2 linked regions of the Coturnix japonica genome follow. The protein of the gene in region 1 binds, or shares a complex with, the protein of each later gene. Links are inferred from orthologs where the notes say so. Each region holds a gene or a part of one and is shown on either strand. Other genes may lie near its edges.

Evidence for each region.
Region 2: AKAP13 (region 1) and MAP2K3 share a complex: the UniProt entries of both Homo sapiens proteins name them as parts of the signaling complex. The link is inferred for Coturnix japonica from reciprocal best matches to the Homo sapiens genes AKAP13 and MAP2K3.

The regions. Positions count from the first base shown.
Region 1 is NC_029525.1:12,534,233-12,538,037, reverse strand, and holds part of AKAP13 (A-kinase anchor protein 13), read left to right. Parts: intron 1-340; coding exon 341-466; intron 467-574; coding exon 575-692; intron 693-1,308; coding exon 1,309-1,557; intron 1,558-2,912; coding exon 2,913-2,989; intron 2,990-3,805. UniProt on the Homo sapiens protein: Scaffold protein that plays an important role in assembling signaling complexes downstream of several types of G protein-coupled receptors.
Region 2 is NC_029529.1:4,552,769-4,557,369, reverse strand, and holds the start of MAP2K3 (dual specificity mitogen-activated protein kinase kinase 3), read left to right. Parts: upstream 1-1,773; 5' UTR 1,774-1,865; coding exon 1,866-1,881; intron 1,882-2,478; exon of another isoform or gene 2,479-2,586; coding exon of another isoform or gene 2,587-2,599; intron 2,600-4,601. Other genes in the region: protein NATD1, read right to left, coding at 72-168. UniProt on the Homo sapiens protein: Dual specificity kinase. Is activated by cytokines and environmental stress in vivo. Catalyzes the concomitant phosphorylation of a threonine and a tyrosine residue in the MAP kinase p38.

The sequences.
Region 1 (3,805 bases):
TGTGTGCAGTGCGTTTCTTGGCTGATGTACAGAGAGAGAAGATATTTAACTTAGGGCGGGCTCTTGTGCTTTCCTTTATGTTTTCTCCCATTCTCCTTTCTCTAACTCTCCCTCTTTGGCTTTTAAACTCCACTGAGGTGCCGTCCCAGATTTAGTGTTAAGTGTGAATGCAGCAGAGCCACAGACTCCGCTTGTTACTTTCTAGAGATTTAATTTCTTGGCTTATTGAGCTTTGTGCTGATTTGTTTTCATAAAATTCATTTGAGAGACTGACAGGCGCTGCTGGAAGTTGCACCAAGAGCTCAGTGGAAGTTGGATCTTTACATCTCTTGTCTTGCAGTTCTCCGGAGAGAACGCTGAGAGAATGAAGAAGACATATGGCAAATTCTGTGGGCATCACAATGAGGCAGTAAATTACTTCAAAGATCTGTACTCAAAGGACAAACGTTTCCAGGCTTTTGTCAAGGTAGGACCTGGTGAAAGAGAAACAGCCCATAGGGAGAAAAACTGATTCCTTTCTGTGCTCCATTGGGTGCTTTGCTACAGAACTGAAATTTTTGGCTTTGTTTCTTAGAAAAAAATGAGCTCCTCGTTGGTGAGACGCCTTGGGATTTCTGAATGTATCTTGTTGGTAACGCAGAGAATCACAAAGTACCCGGTCCTGTTACAGAGGATACTGCAGTACACTGCAGGTAGGGGCCAGTTCTTTTGTAAGCGTGTATTTGCTCATCAAGTGTGCATTACCAGGACCTTTTTTTTTCCTTAAATTTTCTTAGAGTTGGCACACTAAGCCAGTCGTTGTCTCACACTGTTATAATGGGATAACCATGTTTCATCTCTCTGTTCAGTGTTAGTTGATCAGGTGCCTTGGTTTCATTGATGTAATCTATCTCTAGCTAATTGTGTATGTTTGGTGGCCCTGCTAGGCAGGGGGGTTGGAACTACATGATCCTTGAGGTCCCTTCCAACCCGGGTAATTCTGTGATTCTGTGATAATTATAGAGCCAGCATGCTCAGGCTCCAGAGTCTTCCAGCTTACCTTTTTTTTCATAACAGCTAAAAGATGTGGTTACTTTGCTCATTTCTCATCTACTGTCTTGAGGTATATTGGAACATCTCCCAGCCTCAACCCTGTATGTGAAAGGGTTTGTGAAGCTCTGCTTAGGAAGGAAAGATGCATCCTGTTGGGAGAATGTTAAAAAGTTATAATGCAGGAGTCTGAGAGGGAGAAGAGGAAGGAAGTAAAGGGAAAACAGGGATGTCCACAAGGATAAAGTGAAATAGAAATCTTTCTCTTTCTGTTCAAAGAAAATGAAGTGGAACATGAAGACTTGACTCAGTCATTAAACCTTGTTAAAGATGTGATTGCCGCGGTCAATAGCAAAGTCAGTAACTATGAGAAGAAAATGCGCCTTGATGAGATTTACAACCGGACGGACAGCAAGTCCATCATGAGGATGAAGAGTGGTCAGATGTTTGCAAGAGAGGACTTGAGGCATCGGAAGCTCATCCGAGATGGGCCTGTTTCACTGAAAAATGCAGCTGGGCGGTTAAAAGGTAACAATTCCCTCTCTGGGCATAGGGTTGCTCCTCAGATTGGAATCCCCAGAACTTATTTTGCTGCTCTGAGAGCCTTTGACAGCAATTTCAAATCGGATATGATTTATTTTGACGTTTTGGAAACAGGAAGTTTATGTTTGTTTTCTGAGCTTCCAGGATTACTAATGACTTCATAAGGTGGATGAAGCAAGTTATGCTGCTGTTGTGAAATACTGTGATAAGCACAGGCTGCATTTGTATTTCTAAGTCACAGAAATGCCTGTTCTGTAGTGCATGTTCCCAGCAAAAGCAGGACCTGTCGATCCCAGTAGGGGTGCAGCTGGTTCTGATCCTTTGGCAATTCTGTGGTACTTTAGGTGGAAAAGATAGAAATTTGGGAAGAACTTTTTCTTGCACCTTGTCAGCATTTCCCCTCTTGCAGAGTGCATGGAAAATATAGTGATGGAGAAGAATGGGGTCAAATGCTGACTCATGCAAACCTCCAAGGGTTTTGAGTTCACTTTGCAGCTTTGATTAAGATTTGGTGGTTCTTTTATCCAAAGCAGATCCTGTCTTCCTAAAGCAGAATGGAAGGAATTACCATGGGATGATTTCACTTTTTGGTTTGCTTCCTGTGTGTCACAAGATTTCCCAAGTACATAACACAAAAACGCTTTGTACTGAGGGATATGGGTGGGGTATTATACTTGGTACTTAGTGTGCAGCTTTATGCTCTGTCATTAGGAGACTTGGAAGGCTGTGCATGTACTTTGGGAAACGTTTGTATTCTGATTTAAGATCTTCTCAATCGCTTGGTGCTGTGCTTCCTTCCACCATGAAATAAAGGTCCTGCATCTCAAGCTGGGCTCTGTTAGCTCCCCTTGGAGTTAGCAGGGGTTTTGTTTGTCTGTGAGCAGAGCTGGTGGTGGCTTCTGAAGTCACTGTTTCCTGTAAAGAAACTGCAGCTGACAAATGTTGCTGTTGCACAATAATTTACACTCCCCCAAACTACTCTTTGAAAAAGACATAAAACCCCCAACTTCCTGTGCTGATGCTTTGCTCATGGGCTGAAATATTGATTGCTTCAGAAAACAATTCTGTTCTGTGTCTCCAGTTCTTGCTGCTATTCCATGTCCTACCTGTGGGCAGTTCATGGCTGGAGAGCAGCCCTCCCACCCAGGGGGGGGTTCCCAAGGCAGCTCTGCATTGCATGGCCCTTCCAGCATCTAACCAGGTGTTGCACAGCACTGCAGGCTGATCCCAGACCAGCCCTTGTGCTCCCCAGTGGCCAGTGTTATTAAAAGATAAATCTGCTTAGGAGTGTGTTGTGTGGGTGGTTATACAGCACCTATATAATTTTTCTCTTTTTGCAGAAGTCCAGGCTGTTCTCCTCTCTGACATGCTCATATTCCTTCAGGAGAAGGACCAGAAATATGTCTTTGCTTCACTGGTAAGTTTTCATCCTTCTCCTTTGCTTTTCTGTGTGAGGGTCCCTTGGTGTTTGTTATGCAGTAAAACCAGCCTCTGCCTGCTAAACAACTTCATTTTCCTGCTTAGAACATTTCTGTTTGTTGGGGGAGCTGTTTTGTCAATTGGAAAACGCGTCATTGTTTCACACCTCCCCCTGGTGATTCCTGCAGTGCCTTGGCACTGCTGATAATTGGCCTTGAAAACCCTCCTGCCACTCCACACGCCTTCTCCTTTTCAGTTTGTGCAAACTGAAGCCATGAGCTGGGGGGATGGAGAGTAATGGGATAATGCAAACGTTGTGAAAACAAATCTTAGCAGATGATGGTGTTCTCATATATTATGAAGTGCTATAGAGGAGGCAGGGAACACCACTGCAGTAAATGCAGCAGAGCAGCGTACAGATAAATGTCAGAAGAATGTGGTTGTAATGCACCAAACCAAAACCAATCACTTCTGAATGCAGTCTCCTAAAGGTCGAGACACACTACACAACGGTAGTCTGATACCTAACTAGGTCTGTTAGGACTGTACCTTGCAGACACAGTTTAGACTGTCTAAGCCTTGTGTCCTTTTGGCCCTTGGAATGGGAGCAATGGGATTTTGTAACCCAATGGGATATTTTAAATCGGGCAGGCTGACTACACAGAGACCATAGCACACAGTGAGCACCCTCTTATGTACAAGTATTGTCCATCGCAGATGTCCACTGTGGGCTTCTGAGAACAGGCAAGTTTTTGTTGGACTTGAAAATAAGGTGTTACTCCATCCAAGGGTGAGACTGTGAAGATGAGATGTG
Region 2 (4,601 bases), on another chromosome or scaffold:
GGAGGAGGGGGCTGAGGACAGAGGGGGGGGATCGGGGGGTAGGGGGCGGATCGGGGGCTCTGCTCCGTTACCGTTCAGCCGCACGGTGAACTGCCGCCGCTTCCGATCGTGCTCCACCTGGATGGGGCAGCCCTGCTCCATAAGGCCGAGCGGCGCCGAGTGCGCCATGGCCGGGCCGGGCAGTGAGACTGTGCCGTGTAGGAGCGGGGAGCTGCGGGGACCGGGAACGAGCCGGGTCGGGTCGGGTCGGGTCGGGTCGGGTCGGGCCGTAGCGGCGGCACCGGGAGCTGCCACCGGTGCTTGGCCGCAGGAAGCCAGCTGTGCGCCACGTGCCCGCCCCGCAGCCTATGGCAGCGCTGCCGTTTTGTTTTGATACATTTGCCCGGCTCTTAAAGGAGCCGTAACACATTCTGCTCCACGACGAGCCCCGGCGCCCCCGCGTGGGCGGTGCGGTCACGGACAGCGCTGGGTCCCGGTAGTGCTGCGTCCCGGTAGTGCTGTATCCCGGTACTGCTGTATCCCGGTAGTGCTGCCCATTGCAGCGTGTGCCATTACTCGCCCTAAACCCGCTCGTTGAGCCCAAACTCCAGGATTGCTGCCCTGCTGGCACAAAGCCGGGCCCACCCCGTTCCCAGCTCTGTGATACGAGCAGTGTGTCACAGCCCGCAGCCCCGAACGTGGGCTTTGGGAATGCTCCCAGGCTGAGCTGAAAGGCGGTGAATCTGCTACGTCTCTCATTAAAGTAATTACTCGCACTATTAACATCAGTGATTTATTTCCCATTTGAGCCTTTCTAGCTTCAATTTACAGCTGCTGGATGTTAGCGCTGTCACTGGGTCCAGCCCGGACACAGGTGCAACCCCGGACCCATGTTTCCTGTCCTTATTTCAGACACATTTTCCAGCTCTCAAACCGATCAAACGAAGCTCTGCACAGCCCGGATCGGAACTGCACGAGACTGCACGAGGGCTGCGTTTGCTCCCACCCCTCCTTCGTAGCGGTTTGGATCACGCTGGGAAATTTCTGCCTGCAAAGATTGCTCCCCATAGAGCAGATTGCAGGATAGGTCAGGGCTGGTTCACGGGAGACCCCAGCAATGGGATCCCATGGGAATGCGATGGCATCACTTATCCCTGTGCAGGGTGACGTGGCTGCTGCGGGTCCCCCCTTGCATCAGCCCTGCCCAGCACGTGCCCGGGCAGGTGATGCTGATGCACGCAGGGGCAGATAGGTGGGGGATTTTCCAAAGGGGCTGTGCAGGGTCCTGGCTGCCCCACAGCTGATGCTGGAGCGTGCAAAGCAGCACACGGCTGTTGTTTAACATCCTGCAAACGAATGGATGGAGGGTGTTACGAGCTGCGGCTTCTCCTTCAAGGCAGAGGGTGCTGCTTGCACCTGCCCAGGCTGTTCCCAGCAGGCTCCCATTTCCTGCACTTACACGGAGGTAACTGGGACACAAGGCGGTCCAAGTTCCCTTGGCATTGTGGTGATGTGCTCATATAGGTAAAGCTCCAATCAGTGCGTTCCCTAAAGGGAAAGATACAAAAGCGTCCCGTGTTATGGGGGCTCTGCTGGCCCCGCTGGGCTCATCCCCCCGCAGGGCAGCTCCATTTTGCCCGCCCTACTCACTTCATTCTCTCCACCTCACCCGACAACCATAAAATTCCCCTGGCGGAGGCGGGCAGGGCGGAAGCTCCACCCACTCCACCGTTCTACCCAATCACGATGGCGCTTCCCCCGCGAGGGGGCGTGTCCAAACCCTTTAAGCCCCGCCCCTTCGCTGTTCATCCCCCGCCGCCGTCGCGCAGGTTGGGACAGTGCCGGGTATCGCCTTGTGCCCCAGCGCTGCGGGGCCGTCGGCCGTCATGTCTGTGCCCAGAGGTACGAGCGGGGTTCGGTTCGGTTCGGTGTGCGGGGGATGCGGGTTGGGGCTCTGCGTGGTTCTTTGGGGGCTGCCGTGCTCTGTGCCTGCAGCCCACGCTGTGTCCTGAGCGTGGGGCATCCCCGTGTTGTGCGTGGGGCCGTCGGGGAGGACACGGGTGGGTTTGGATCCCTCCCCGCTCAACGTGGCGGTGGGAGCTCGGCGCTGTGTCTGTGACACGTCGTTTAGATGAGCCCTGAGTGGGGTGGGGGGGATTGAGAGAGGAGGGGTCGTATTGTGGTGGTGGGTGGGGGACACGCGGGGCGTGCCCGCTTATCACCGCAATGCAATGCAATGCAATACAATGCAATTCAATGCAATGCGGGGGGTTTCCTCGCTGCGGAGCGATGCTCTGGAAAGTCTCGGTCAGGCTCCATGTGAGCAATGAAGCACCTCGGCGTGACCGCTGCTTTTTTCCCCCCTTCCCCTTCTCCCCGCCCCCCCCCATAAAACTCTCCGTGTCTTAAACGGAGGGAATGTGGACCTGAGTTTCCTGTTTGCTGTGTAAGCGGGAGGAGGAGGAGGGGGGGGGGTTGTGAATCAGCAGCGATTTACGGCGCTGCGAGCGGAGCTGCTGACTCACGGCTGCGGGTTGGGGCCGCTCAAAAGGCGCTCGGGAGCGCGCCCGGCCCCGCACCTCGTCGGGAACGCGCGTGGATGGAGGGATGGACGGCAGAGGTGAGCGATGCGGGATGCGATGCGGGATGCAGTACGGGATGCGATGCGGGATGCAGTACGGGATGCGATGCGGGATGCGCTCCGCACCGCGGCTGGGCCGTTTGTTTCCTAGAGCTGTGGGATTATCGCTGCGTTTTGCTTCTCTCTCTGCTATTCGTTGCCCTGCACATGGTTTGTTGGCTGCTTCCTAGTGGTGCTGGTGGGATGGATGTGGGTATGTGCAGCGCGGAGCGGGACCCGCTGCCTTCCAGGGGGGTTTGGTGCTGTTGGGGTGGTGCCGCTTTGCGTTCCGTGGTTCAAAGGAGAACGAGTTGGGGCTCTCATGGATCCTTCCGCCCCAAAGCTCGCTGCCGTCATTCGGGTGTAGTCACGGGGCCCGTCTGCTGCCTCCGGAGTGTTTGGGGCTGCGCGTGGCCGCCCGTGACACGCGTGATAGGAATGGAGCCGGGCGGGAGCGATCCTGGCGCTAAACATAGCTGCTGAGATAAACACCTTGTGGGGATTACGCAGGGCTTAGTGCCAGCATCTCGGCTTTCTTCCTCTTCCCACTGCCCGGATCTGATCCCTCGCGGGGTGAGATGTGTGGGGATGGGATGCGAGATAACGTGGAGTGCCGAGCAGCAGCGCTGGGGTTTGCTCCAATGTGCCCAAGCTCTCCTGTCTGTCCCATACAGCAGCACAGCCTCAGGTGTTTTAGGAGCTGTGCGACCCTCTGTGCTGTGGGGTCGGGTGGGTTCTCTGCTTTCTGGACTGATTTTGTGGCTGGGGGGCACTGTGGGGTTTTGACCCCATTGTTTTGCTGTCACTGTGCTGATATGGGCAGGCTGTTTGCTGGAGGAGCAATGGGGTGAGATCTGTTGTTTGGGGGAGGTTTTAATTCACCAACCAAAAGTTTGGGGTTTTACTGGTGTGTGACTCAGGGCTGCTTGTGGGTATGTGTGGGGCTTGGTGCAATTGGAGGCTGAGCCAGAGGCTCTGGAGTGGCAGAAAGGGCTTTTTCTGAAATTTATGGTGGAAACTGAAAGTTCCCATTCTTCTTCCTATTCTTTTTATTTGCAATCCCAAGGAGTGTCCAGGGAAGGGGCACAGCTTCAGGTCCTTTACACTGCTCCCCCTCCAACCTCTCCTTCCTCCCTAAAGAACATGCCAGCAGTTGGGCACAGCTGTAGGTACCACCCCAGCACCTTGCTGTCCCCTTTTGGCAGTGGGTCCTGGGCTCTGTTGCCCTGTCCTCAGCAGGAATGGGGGTTTGTGGACCAGGGGCTGCAGGCAGAGCCCTCTCACAGCTCAGGTGTGACATCAAGGCTGCATTTCTGTCTTTAGGGTGAGCTGCGGTGTCTTTGTTGCATCCCTATTGCAGGAGGGGATGGATGGATGGATGTTGCTTTGGGCATTATAGGAATTGCCCTCATGTGCTGCAGATTAAGGGGAATGCTGTGATGTAAGGGCACAGTGGTGAGCACTGTGCTGGCTGCAGGCAGCTGGAGGTCAGAGTGCTGCTTCTAAGAGCTGCTGCAGCAGCCCCACAGCTTTGAGATGAGTGGGGCCAGACCGTCCAACAGGGTTAGTTTAAGGGGTTGAGGTTTCTCTGAAGTGGGAAAGCATGACATTGGGTGCATGTGATGATGTCTCCACATCCCTGGTCCCTCTGCTCTGTGGCTTCATGACTCCTCATAGGAAAGCAGCTGGCAGCAGCTGGCTGTCACCATCATCTTGTGAGCTACTGGGGGGAGAGGAGGAGCTGGCAGATATCTGTCCCCCATGGGTTGCAGCAAGATTGCTCCAGCTCTGTCCATTGCTTCCTGCTTGGCTTCAGCATCTCAGGTGAAGTGCTTGTATATAAATGTATATCACATTCAGATATTCAGAGGACAGCTTTGCTTTAAAAACATAACTCAAAAGGAAGAGTAAGCAGGATGAGGAGGAGACACAAACCTACCAGAAACTGTTTGCGGAGCAACCACCCTTCCTGCTCCTCACACCACCACCAAAAGAAATCTCC